4 separate regions of the Mus musculus genome follow, and regions 1, 3 and 4 are each reported to be linked to region 2. The links are microRNA targets in miRTarBase. Many come from high-throughput screens and were not tested one by one. Region 2 holds a microRNA gene; each other region holds the end of a gene's coding sequence.

What was found. The annotated mature microRNA mmu-miR-297a-5p reads AUGUAUGUGUGCAUGUGCAUGU and lies in region 2 at 1,004-1,025, shown strand. An mRNA with a match to its seed (bases 2 to 7 or 8) in the 3' UTR can be bound and repressed. Matches are read on the target gene's strand: a 7mer-m8 pairs with bases 2 to 8, a 7mer-A1 pairs with bases 2 to 7 and ends in A, and an 8mer does both.
Region 1: miRTarBase lists Larp4b as a target of mmu-miR-297a-5p. Seed matches in the 3' UTR shown: 7mer-m8 at 982-988.
Region 3: miRTarBase lists Amigo1 as a target of mmu-miR-297a-5p. Seed matches in the 3' UTR shown: 7mer-A1 at 1,203-1,209.
Region 4: miRTarBase lists Clk1 as a target of mmu-miR-297a-5p. The part of its 3' UTR that is shown has no 7-base or 8-base seed match.

The regions. Positions count from the first base shown.
Region 1 is chr13:9,170,544-9,173,709 of GRCm38, forward strand. It overlaps Larp4b (La ribonucleoprotein domain family, member 4B), which reads left to right. Exons shown (of 18, transcript NM_172585.3): 18 at 109-3,166. The coding sequence ends at 399. Among named protein-coding and RNA genes, the nearest start is that of Larp4b, 78 kb to the left of the region's middle.
Region 2 is chr7:10,956,336-10,959,501 of GRCm38, reverse strand. Mir297-1 (microRNA 297-1) reads left to right here and starts at 990; the gene lies at 990-1,065.
Region 3 is chr3:108,188,185-108,191,350 of GRCm38, forward strand. Amigo1 (adhesion molecule with Ig like domain 1) reads left to right here. Exons shown (of 2, transcript NM_146137.3): 2 at 1-3,166. The coding sequence ends at 481. Among named protein-coding and RNA genes, the nearest start is that of Amigo1, 3.5 kb to the left of the region's middle.
Region 4 is chr1:58,409,671-58,412,836 of GRCm38, reverse strand. Clk1 (CDC-like kinase 1) reads left to right here. Exons shown (of 13, transcript NM_001042634.2): 12 at 100-190; 13 at 497-849. The coding sequence ends at 640. Among named protein-coding and RNA genes, the nearest start is that of Clk1, 13 kb to the left of the region's middle.

The sequences.
Region 1 (3,166 bases), not on the chromosome of region 2:
AGATGAAATTGTAATTAAAACAAAAACTTTATCTTATATAACTTCTTCCCTGAAAGAGCTTCCATCCCTGATATTTTGTATACATAACCCCATATTCTATGTTTCCAGGAATTGAGAAAGCCCAGTTATGCAGAGATTTGTCAGAGAACGAGTAAAGACCCTTCTTCCTCCTCTCCATTGCAACCCCCAAAAGAACAAAAGCCAAGCACTGTCGCCTGTGGGAAGGAGGAGAAGCAGCTGTCTGAGCCTGTCGAGAGACACCGAGAGCCCCCTGCCCTTAAGTCCACGCCTGGAGTCCCCAAGGATCAGAGGAGGCAGCCTGGGCGCCGAGCCTCTCCTCCAGCTGCCGGGAAACGCCTGAGCAAGGAACAGAACACGCCTCCCAAGTCTCCTCAGTGAGAGCTGCGTGCCTGCGAGGGCTCTGGAAGAGCTGTACCCACCGTGAGAAGCTCTCCCACTCAGTACGGAATGAGCCGCTGGTTAGGAGCTTGCAGTGTCTGTGGGGCCCGTGGGATACCTGCAAGTTACTTCCTTCTGTGAGTCGGATATTCCCCCTCTTGGAAAAAAAAATGTATTTTTCAGGATTTAATTATATAATATAAACCTTATTTTAGGTTGGTGCTTAACTGGAGGTGATACAGAAGTCTGGTGTTTTCAGGATAGAAAATGTATTTATCCTAACAAATGGATATTTTTTATTAAGCCTCCACGTGGCTCTGAGTGCAAAGCTATAATGAGTTTTTCTAAATTAAGGGAACTCTGCTACTTCCTTTTTTTTTTTTTTTAATAGTTGGTCTACAAGTGCGCATTGGTAGGGTGTCCAGCAGATGGATGGGGGCTGATGGCAGGGGCAGGGGCAGCCTTGGCCTCACAGAGCAAGGGACTGGCATGTCAGGACACTGACAGACTGGCATAGGAGCTGTGTTTTCATCTAAACCCTTAGCAACAGGTAACTCTAGCTTTAAAACAAGATACAGATGTACATACAGTTCTTTTTTGATCTAGTGGGCAGAACCTGCAAAGAGCACCCTAGAAAGACCTGAAACCTTTGAGTTTTGATGTCCTGCGAGCAAGTAACCAGCCTCTCACTCCAGTTCCAAGTGGCTACTATGTAAAATAAATTCAAAGCACATTGTGAATAGAACCTAGATGGAATTAGAAACTGCTGCTGCCCACTGATGTCAGAAGTTGTACACGATGTGTGTCCCTGTGAGTGAGTGGCTACCTGGCTCTCATCCTCCATGCTCTCTCTGTGTCCCCCACACTCTGGAGAGTCGTGTCTTAGCCAGCTCTGTGTGGATGTCTTCTTGTCCCTCTGCATCAGCACGTGGATTTAGAAGTACCTAGCCGTGAGAGAGTGCTGTCGGTGGTCCCCTCTGGCTTGCGAGGACAGAGTCCTTGCTCTTTTACCTCCAGGACGAGGGTTTTCTTGATTGTTTCAGAAGCTGCACTTCTGAGGAGCGAGAGTGCAGTCAAGTTAGCAAGTTCATAATAAAGTTACAGATAAATTATTTTGTTTTAAAACGCCTAAGATTTTTCTTTAAGTATTCTAAGCAGCAGACATTAAACTATTTCCTGCTATATGTAACCATACAGCTTATTCCACAAAATGCTATTTAATGAGACTGAAGGTTGTTTTGGTTTCTTTTTTCTTTTTTTTTTTCTAAGGAAAAAAATTATTTCCATCCAATATTTAAAGACTTGAATTTTATTTAAACTTGAAAATGACTTTGCCTTAACTTTTGTATAAGACAGCTTAGAGCTCACGGAGACCTGCCCCTGGGTTGGCGGGAGTGGATCGGTTACTCAGTTGCCATGCGGATCTCCTGGTGTTGGTTTTGCTGAGAACGCATACTGTTGTACAAGAACTCCAGTGGTTTTTGTAACATACCTACAGATCTTCAACAGTTGATCTTTTTTCAGATTGTTGAAAAGTCCTGTAAATGCAAATAGTCGCTACTGTGTTAAATCTGTGCACTTGGGAGTGTGCTCTGCTTGTACAGTGTAAATAATCAGAACATATGAGAAAGGTACCCTACAGAGAAGAATCTGATAAAAATTATTGATATATTATAAATGTTGCTGTTGAGCTGATGTAGATAAACTAAATGTTGTGGTTTGAGTATTATTTTAATTTGTTAAGGTTTTTCTTTTTCCCCTTATACTGGTGTGTTGAACTGATTTTGCCTCTTTGCTGCAAAAGGGAAATGGAAAGTCTTATTGAAAGCCTTTGGATGTTTTCATACTCTTAAAAAGAATGTAAGTACATACTAATCATATGTGATATGTGAGGGTTTTGAAGGAGAGTATAGAGAGCAGAGACTGGCAGGATCTTCCAATGAAAGTAAAAAACAGAATGTGCTAATTAAAATTATACTCTGTTAAGTGATTTTTCCTGCCAGAGGCAAAGATGGCCTGATGCACGTGACCATTTCCTTCAGAGCAACTGTCATTCAGTTACATAGGAGTATACGCAGTGCTGATGTTTCAGACGCCTGTGAAAGGAACATAGGACGAATTTCCTTATAGATGTCAGATCACTGACAAAAAAAAAAAAAAAAAAAAAGAAAGAAAGAAAGAAGAAGAAGAAAACAGCTGGCCTCTTGAACCCACACTAGCAGATACTGTCTATCTGGAAAGGCGAGCCTGAGGCCTCAGGCCCTTCACATCACATCTTTGCTGGAAGAGGGGCCAAATTATGGTCAGCACCCCTTACCCCCAAGGGTGCTCTCACAGAGGAGCTTTGATTTTTAATGAGAAGTCCTTTCCCCAAGGCTGAGCATTGCAGCACGAAACCTGTGTGGCAGAGCCAAGCTGTAGGTGCTTGCTGTCTGCTGGCTGGAAGTGTACAGCTCAGTGGCCACACGCAAGGGCAGGTGGGCAGATGCACGAGGTGGGACACTGATTACTGCTTAGCCAGTGACAGCCTGGCATCAGGAACTAAAGCCTTGCTCAGATGTGATTTTTATAAGCACTCGTTTTTCAGGAAGCAAAGGTGATATGCCAAATAGCTGTATAATGTCAAAACAGAGACTTCCTGAACACTTTGAGGTTTTCCACTCAGAAAAAAAAGGAAGTTATCAAAATAGGAAGCTGTTGAGGGTGCATGCAGACTCTTGCTATGTCACATCCAGCAAGTGTGGTATGTGGCTTTCATAATCTATTT
Region 2 (3,166 bases):
ATATGGATAATATAAGATTACAGAGTCACGTTGCCCCACTTTCATGGATCTGAGTTTCTCCATGGAGAAGGAACAATTGGTTTCCTCTAGGAAGGCCCCCTGCAGCAAGAGCAAGCTAGAAAATCTGCTCCCCATGTTTTGTGCAGTCGTCTTTTTATGCAGACTTTGTCCCAGATGGCTCTTTCCACTTCCACGCTGGAAAGCTGGGTTTCTCTGCAATACTTGATAATGGATTATTTCACTGTCTTTGTGTTTTGCAATGTAGTTTTACAAGGTAGTTCTGGGTAGTCTAGAACTTACTAGATAGCTCATGCTGGCCTCGAGTTTTACAGTCTTTCTTCTGTCTTCAGCTGAGATATATACCACCATGCTACGAGGGCTTTAGTTTTAATCATGCAGACTTTTTCGCTTTGATATTAAATTTAAAAAAAAATCTACTACATATTTCCTGGTGGCTCAGTGGGTAAGAGCACTTGTTGCACAAGCTAGGGACTTGTGTCCAGCTTCCCAACACCCACATGAAAAAGTATGTGCTGCCCAATATCCCCAGTGCTATTGAACAGAAACAGAAGAACACTGGGGCCCCATTCTAAGTACAGTGAGAGATCCTGCCTGGGGAAAAAGCAGAGAATGATAGAGCAGGCCACTCAGTGTCCTTTCTGCTCTCTTCCTGTACATAAGCTCATGCATCTTTGTGTGTCATATATACTGTTGCACACCTCACAATTTAATCATTTTGGCTAAAGTGATTTTGTTTTTTGGTGGAGATCTCATGTAGGCCTGGATGAACCCCAAACTCCTGACCCTCCTACTTCAATTTCTCAAGTGCATGCATGTGCAAAAGCTAATTGATTTGTTTTTGAGAAAGGGTATCACTATGAAGCTGACTAGTCTGGAACTTGCTATGTAGAATTGCCTGGCCACAGTCTCACAGAGGTGGCATTAACAGCATGTCCCACCATGCCAGGCCCTAGAGCTAAATTTAAAGAATATGTATGTATGTATGTATGTGTGCATGTGCATGTGCATGTATGCATATTGCATGTATATATTATGCATACATGTATGTATTTGCTTGTGTTTGTATGTGTACTACAGCATGCAGGTGCTTCAAGATGATCAAGAGGATGTTGGTTTCTCTGAAGTAGAGTTAAAGATGGTTTTAGCCACCTGATGTCAGTACAGGATATGGAACCCAGGTGCTTCGAAGAGAGCAGCCAATGTTCTGAACCACAAAGCCATCCATCTCTCCAGTGCCCAGCTAAATTGTCAACGGGACTGCTTATGTTTCTTCCTTTGGGGCAGAATAAAGAGATGGACCTGACAAACCCTTTTAGCTACTGAATCAATTTAAGGTATTCACTCTAGTCAATTTGGAGGTTGTTCAGCATACATAATTATTTGTTTGAGACAGGGTCTACCCATGTAACTCTGGCTGGATGGGAATTCATTGTGTAAATTAGACTAATCTATATATTTTCTACAATCCTGCCATTAAGCTTGGAGCTCTAGGGTTTCTTGTGCCCTCTTCTGGCTAATGAGAGCACTGCATTTGTGTGTACAGATCCATACACAAGCTCCCACAGTATATGCATAATAAAAAATGAAATAAAATCTGGATCAGGAGAGATGACTCATTAGTTAAAGCATTGGCTGCTCTTCTAGAAGACCTTTGTTCAACTTACAGCACTCAAAGTAACTCACAATTATTTTTGACTCCAGTTTTAGGGGACACATGCTCTCTTCTATCCTCTACATGTGCCAGGCATGCAGGTGCTGAACAGACATACAAAAATGCAGGAAAACACCCATGTGCAATCAACCAATCTATTTTTAATTAAAAATTTTTGACAGGAGTGCTGATATACTCCTTTAATCCCAGTGTGGACACTATGCCCCTCCTTAGATTTGGGAACAAAACACCCATGGAAGGAGTTACAGAGACAAAGTTTGGAGCTGAGATGAAAGGATGGACAATGTAGAGACTGCCATATCCAGGGATCCACCCCATAATCAGCATCCAAACGCTGACACCATTGCATACACTAGCAAGATTTTATTGAAAGGACCCAGATGTAGCTGTCTCTTGTGAGACTATGCCGGGGCCTAGCAAACACAGAAGTGGATGCTCACAGTCAGCTAATGGATGGATCATAGGGCTCCCAATGGAGGAGCTAGAGAAAGTAGCCAAGGAGCTAAAGGGATCTGCAACCCTATAGGTGGAACAACATTATGAACTAACCAGTACCCCGGAGCTCTTGACTCTAGCTGCATATATATCAAAAGATGGCCTAGTCGGCCATCACTGGAAAGAGAGGCCCATTGGACTTGCAAACTTTATATGCCCCAGTACAGGGGAACACCAGGGCCAAAATGGGGGAGTGGGTGGGCAGGGGATTGGGGGTGGGTGGATATGGGGGACTTTTGGTATAGCATTGGAAATGTAAATGAGCTAAATACCTAATAAAAAATGGAAAAAAAAAAGAATCCAACTTGTCTTTGATGTCATAGATTGATATATGGCAGGGACTTGTCCCTTTATTATGCTCAGGTCTGAAGAGTAAAATCATGGCAAGCTCATATTAATGCAAACAACTTTATTCACTTTGACATATTTGTTGAGCCCACTCCTGTAAACACATGCGCACACATACATGCACAAACACACACACACACACACGCACACACACACACACACACACACACACACACACACACACACACAGAGAGAGAGAGAGAAAGAGAGAGAGAGAGAGGTCTTACTTTCTTTATTTAACAGAAGATTGTGAAAACAAAACTCAGGAAAAGAATATGTTGATACCTTTGTGTCTATTTTCACTTAACATGAATATCACTTGCCAATTTTCAAGGAGAATACTGTGTATGTATTCTTTGTAAGTTACAATTTGACTTGTAGAGAATTTGGATCATGTCTCTTTACTAGATTTTTTTTATAGGCCATGTATTTCCAGAGACAAATACTCCCTGATTAATAATTTGTGCAGGCTAGGATTATTTTATGTCAACTTGACATGTGCTAAAGTCATCTGAAAGGAGTGAATCTCAATTCAAAAAATGTCTGCAGAAGACATAATACCAGGCTATAAGGCATTTTTAAAAGTAGAGTTTGATGAAGAAAGTCCAGCCCATTGTGGGTGGTCCTATC
Region 3 (3,166 bases), not on the chromosome of region 2:
GGATGGGGGTGTGTATACCTGTTACGCCATGGGGGAGACTTTCAACGAGACACTGTCTGTGGAGTTGAAAGTGTATAACTTCACCTTGCACGGACACCATGACACCCTCAACACAGCCTACACTACCCTGGTGGGCTGTATCCTCAGTGTGGTTCTGGTCCTCATATACTTGTACCTCACCCCTTGCCGCTGCTGGTGTCGGGGTGTGGAGAAACCTTCCAGCCACCAAGGAGATAGCCTCAGCTCTTCTATGCTCAGTACCACACCCAACCACGACCCTATGGCTGGTGGGGACAAAGATGATGGTTTTGACCGGCGGGTGGCCTTCCTGGAACCTGCTGGACCCGGGCAGGGTCAAAATGGCAAACTCAAGCCAGGCAACACTCTGCCGGTGCCCGAAGCTACAGGCAAGGGCCAACGGAGGATGTCCGATCCAGAGTCGGTCAGCTCGGTCTTTTCTGATACACCCATTGTGGTGTGAGCAGCGTAGGCTGATGGGGAGGTTCTGCCCCAGGAGAGGTACCCCTGAGGGATATGACAGGGTGGAAGAGAGGGCTGGATGCCCAAGGGAGTGGGTTCCTCCTGACCACCAGGGAATCGGTCACAGGCGCCGGAGGAGGCAAGACCCCAGTGAGGGTGTGGATGCTGCGAGTTTCACCTATGGATATCCTCAGGCAGATGCCACACCCCTACCCAAAGCCTTGGCTATTCTCAGTGTGGGGGAGGGGGACAGGAACGAGGAAAGGGCGGAGGGGAGGAGCAAATTCCCTAAACTTTTTTGAGGTCATCCCTAGCTCCTTAAGAGAAAACCATTTGAAAAACAATGTTTTTTTTTTCTGTCTCTGCCCACCCACACCTGTGAGGTTGTGTGTGTTTGGGGGAGCCTCCACAGGAGCCATGCTGGGAAGCTGCAGTGTCTTCTCTGGTCGGGAAGTCACATTGATAGCTAGAGAACTGGAAACCTTTGGGAAATGAGTCAGGAAAAGGCTGAGACCTGGATCAATAACACTCCCTAAAGCTGCTGGGAGACTTCTCACTAGAGCCGTCTTCTTTCCCTGGGAGTCCTGAGTGGGTGGATCTCTGCAGGAGCCTGGCCTCTCGACTGTTAGTTATGGCAGCAATGTAGGACACTGTGTCTGTGCCTTGTCCTGGGGCAGGTGGCACAGATGGGTACAGAATGAATTAATAGGTCCCTGTCATAGCATACAACTTGTAGATAGGGCATAAATTCCAGGTAGGCTAATTCCCTGGCTGGGGGAAAGCTTTAATTAGTATTTGACTTCCAGTGTCTGTCTGTCAGGACAAGAGTCAGGGATACTGAGGAAAGAGCATTGTGATGGCTGCCACCACTGTGGCACAAGGGCTGCCACACTTGCTAGAAGAATGGGGAAACCAGCCTCTTTGATGTAGCAGCCAGCCAGACCTACCTGATTTTCCATGTATGCCATCCCTTCTGTCAACCTTCTAATCAGCTCAGGTGGGGTTCTGTACCTTCTATAGAAGGCTGCTCTGCAAAGGAGAAGTCGGAAAAGCCCAGTCCTGCTCTGTTAGAATAGGTCTGGAGATACACAGGACCTCACATTTATCTTCTCTGTGCTAACAAGGCTGCCTCACTCCTGCAGAGTGTGGGGGTTTTGTCATCTGAAGGGTTGGAACCTAGTGGTCTCTGTCCCAGAATGGCGATACAGAGTGTGGCTTAGAGTTCTGTGCTCCCCCACCAGACTGGAAGGCAGGTAGTCTTGTTACAGAGGCAGAAGGGGCACTACACTTTGAAAAGTCAGTCGGACATCAGGGCAGTTGTAGCTGTCAGAGCAGAGGCACTTAAAAACAAACCCAGCCTTAGCTTCCATCCAGGCTCGCAAAATGTTTTGGGTACAGATATGACTGTGCCCTGCATCCTGTGAGCATACTGCAGGCCCCAGAGGCAGCTGTTCTGAGCTTTGGAAGAGGGGTGGGCAGGGCAGAGGCGAATGTGTTCCCGTGTTGGTCTTTTCCGGTGTCTTTTCTTTCCCTTGTTTCCTGTGGTTGGAAGTCATCCAGGTCCTCCAGTTTCCTGACCTGCTTTTGGGATTCTTAAGGGGTGTTGTTTACCTATGGGTGAGGGCTGCCTAGTGTTAGGAGGGCCTGTCAGGCTGCTTATAAGGACTGGGGAAGAGAAACGAAAGTAAACATTGTCCCGTCTGCTCCTGGGATCTCAAGGCTGCTGTCCATCCTTTATTAGTAACCTAGTTTTGTCAAGAGAGAGGTGCAGCGATTCCCCTTAAGTAGTTGCATGCTCATAGGTATGCATGCTCATAGGTATGCATGCACGCCAGCACCTTGACCTCCACCAGGACAGTGAGTCTGCGGCCCTCTCTGATGCCACCATTTCTAGAACGGCCTCCACCCCCAGCGCACAACTTCTCACACACAGTTTTCTTGCACTGCAGGAGAGACAGTGACCATGCCAGGCTCCTCAAATGCACAATCTCTTGTACTTTTAATTTCTGAACATCCTGAACTTTTTTGCCCATATCTCCATGGAGCTGAACCACTTTTCTGCAGATGTGGAGTTAGGGGGACCACACGCTGGAGCCTTTGGGAGAAGGGGGGTGAGGTACTAGCTAGTTCATCAGACTCCTCTGAAACCCTCCTAAAAACCTACATTCTTGTAAGACAGGGGGCTAGGGCCAGAGTAATGAGGACTCCAAAGGATCCTGGCAGAGGCTAAGCAGCTCTGAGTTGTTCTTCCTGTGTCCTAATAGACAAGGGTTGGAGAGGAACCAGTTGTATTCCAAAGACTTCTGGGGACTTTGTCACCAGAGGTTGAAGAACCAGACCTCCACCCTCAAACTCCTCAGGGAATGAGAAAATCTTTTAGGTGGCAGAATCCTCTCCTGACACCATCGCGGGCTGTGAGACTCTTTAAAATGGAGGTCAAATGAAGTTTGCCTTCTGGAGCATTCTAGCTGAGCTCCCAAGGACCAGGAGGGTCATTTTCTTTTTAAGTCCTGCTCCACAGCCTAACTCTCCCTACTACATCCACTAACTTGGACCCCAGTTCAAGACACCTGCAGGACATGTCTGGATGCTCCACCAAAAACCATTTAACTGATTGGTCTCACCTTGATTTCAGTTCTTATAACCCAATGGTAGCTTTGTCCTTGTAGGTGTAGGTGGGGTGTAT
Region 4 (3,166 bases), not on the chromosome of region 2:
AAAGATTAGATAGTCTAATATCCTAATACAAATCTTTACCTTTGCTATTTTGACTTTGGGGAAGTCAGCATGGTAAATGTGAACATTTAACTGTTTTAGGAAACGCAGATATTTCCATCATGATCGATTAGATTGGGATGAACACAGTTCTGCTGGCAGATATGTTTCTCGGCGCTGTAAACCTCTGAAGGTAGGCCTTGGATACTCTTTAACCAGGACATGCATGCTACCACTTTTGGGCTATAGAGAATCCTGATTGTTACAGTCTGCTGACCTTCACCCTCTGAAGGTCTCTGTTTCTGGTTTTGAATTGCTTTTTGAGATGGGGTCTTGTTCAGGGACATAAAAATATGTAGTCCAGGATGGCCTCAGAAATTTTCATCGACCTCCAAAAGAGAGGCCTGGTAACCTGGCATCCCATGATTGTAAATGGTTCCTTCTGTTTTTATGTTAGAAGAAAGTGCAGCAGTAAGAAATGTTTGTCTTTCTGTTTCAGGAGTTTATGCTATCTCAGGATGCCGAACATGAGCTTCTCTTTGACCTCATTGGGAAAATGTTGGAGTATGATCCCGCCAAAAGAATTACTCTCAAAGAAGCCCTAAAGCATCCTTTCTTTTACCCACTTAAAAAGCATACGTGATTTATAAACACAGTGCTCTGAAAGGAATCTTACAGACTGTATCAGTCTAGCTTTTAATTAAGTTATTTTGTATAGCTTAATTTGTAAAACATTTTATGTTTTTTAGATGCTTTATTAAATACATGGCCAAACCAAATAACATCTTTCAGTAATTATAGAATGATTTATTTGGAATAAAATTTGTGCTTATGAATGTATAAAGGTCTATAGCTTGGTGTACGGTCTTTCTACAGTAAGTCTGAAGATAGCTCTGCCTTTGTATGTACGTGGGCATTTTCACCTACATGTATGCCTGCCCCACATATTTGCAGGCCAGAAAAGGGTGCTGGAAATCAAACTTGGGCCCTCTAGAGAACAGCAGCCAGTTCTCTTCTCCAGACCCAACTTTGTTTACATTTTTAGGAGATTTTTTAGTGAGTATTGGGGCATCCTTTCTCTAAGTTAAAAGATTTTATTTTCCTTTTATTCTTGCTCAAGTTTAGTACTGCTGTTTTCTGGTCTGTATGGTGGTGTGTTCTCCTTGTTAACTCTTACTCTTCAGGCTAAGAAATGAACTCTAAAGTCTTTGTAGCCATCGTGAGGCAGATGTTCGGGTACCCTTGTTCATGTATCTGTACACCTGCATGTGCAAGTGCCTGTGGAGGCTGAGGTAACCTAGTCTGCCTCAATGGCCCTCTGCTTACACATGCAGATGGGGTATGCGAATCCTGTGCTTTATCAGGACTTCACCAAGCCTCAATTCCATGGACTTTATTTATTATTTAATTTTGGTGTTTCTTTTAAAAATTGAGCAGGCCTCAGTGACATTTGCTGATAGGTTGGATAACCCGAGTTTGAGCTCTGGAAGCAAACAGTGTCAGGAAAGAGCCAGCTCTGGGGTGGTTCTTTAACTTCTACATGGGCACATACACAGGATACTTTTTTAAATGAGTTGAAAATGCCTAGAGAGGCTTTAAGAATTGCAGGTCACTTTACAAATCCTCTTGCTGCCCAGAGGATTCCAACTCCAAGTGGAGACCCTAAAGGTAAAACTACTTAAGTAATAAAACCTTGCCGTGGGGCTGGGGAAGTGTACACATGCACACGAGAGAATGAGATGCTCAGTGCCTGTTAAAAGCTCCAAAGGCAGGAGCTTGAGTGGAGCTGAAAACGGCAAACTTCGAAGAGTCTGTCTCCAATCAGTTTGATTCTGGGCCATGCCTGAGAGCACAGGGAAGACACGGCACACGCTGCATAGATGGCCCTGAGTACAGCGTGTCCAGCTGAAACACTAGCATTTTTAGATTGATTCTACAGTCATTTCACAGTTGATTCACTCTAAAGACAGAAATCATGCTGGGTGCTGGTGATGCAGGAGAGCCTGGTCTACAGAGTTAAGGGCAGCCAGGGCTACACAGAGAAAAAAGGTAGAAAATAGGAACTATAGGAATAGGCAATTGACTGTCCAGTTGCTATTCTTTTTCCCCCCTAGGCATAGCATTGTGTGTTCCCATAATCATACTGCATAGCATTCAGTGATATTGTTCATGTCTTTAGTTGGTAGCTTTTCTCAAGTGGTAATCATTTATTTAGTCGTTTTCCTTTCCTTTTGTTGATCCCAGGGATTAAGCAAGTGCTCTACTGCTGAGTCACCCTTGTAGCTTAGTTATTTTCTGTTACAATAATTCAGTATTAAATAGAGGTAGTCTTTTATAAAAGTCAACTGTGAAGGCTTAGTATGCTGGCACATACATGTAATCCCAGTACTCAGAAGATGGAAGCTGGAGGATCATGGGTTCTAGGCCATCCTGGATCACTTAAAAAGCAAAACGATCCTGTCTCAAGGCAGTAAGGTGGAGCTCTACAGACCAAGACAACCCCAGCCTGCTCTGACCTCCGCATGGTGTGCATACACACAAATCATACAAAACACCAAAACCCCAGTTTCCTGGGCATAGACGTGTTTGGAAATCATTGTTATGGTTGAACAGGATCATGACAAATAAAAAAACAGCTTGACTGGAGTTGAGTTCCTAGTATCCAACATGATTTCAGTTGCTGAAAACTCGATGTTGAAGTACACTTAACCCTCAAGAATCTTGTTTAAACTGCCTTTGGGGAAAATAAAGTCACACTTGAGAGGCTGGAAAGGTGGCTGTGCCCCGTCCAGCAGGACTTATTTACTCTGAAGAGAAAGGGAAGTGAGACCCTGTTTCCAGAAACCCAGCAAGGGCAGGGTGTGGTGGAGCTCGCCTTTAATCCCAGCACTTGGGAGGCAGAGGCAGGTTGATTTGAGTTCAAGGCCAGCCTGGTCTACAGAATGAGTTCCAGGACAGCCAGGGCTACACAGAGAAACTCTGTCTTGAAAAAACAAAACAAAAAACCCCAAAAACCCAGCAAGAAGGCTCAGTTAAATATGCTTGTCACCAAGCCTAATGCTCTGAGTCCAGTCCTCAGAACCGATATGGTAGAGACCTGACACACGCAATCTGGCCTGTGAGTGGGCACAAAAAAAGTGTACAAGCACAATGTAAAGACAGAGACCCA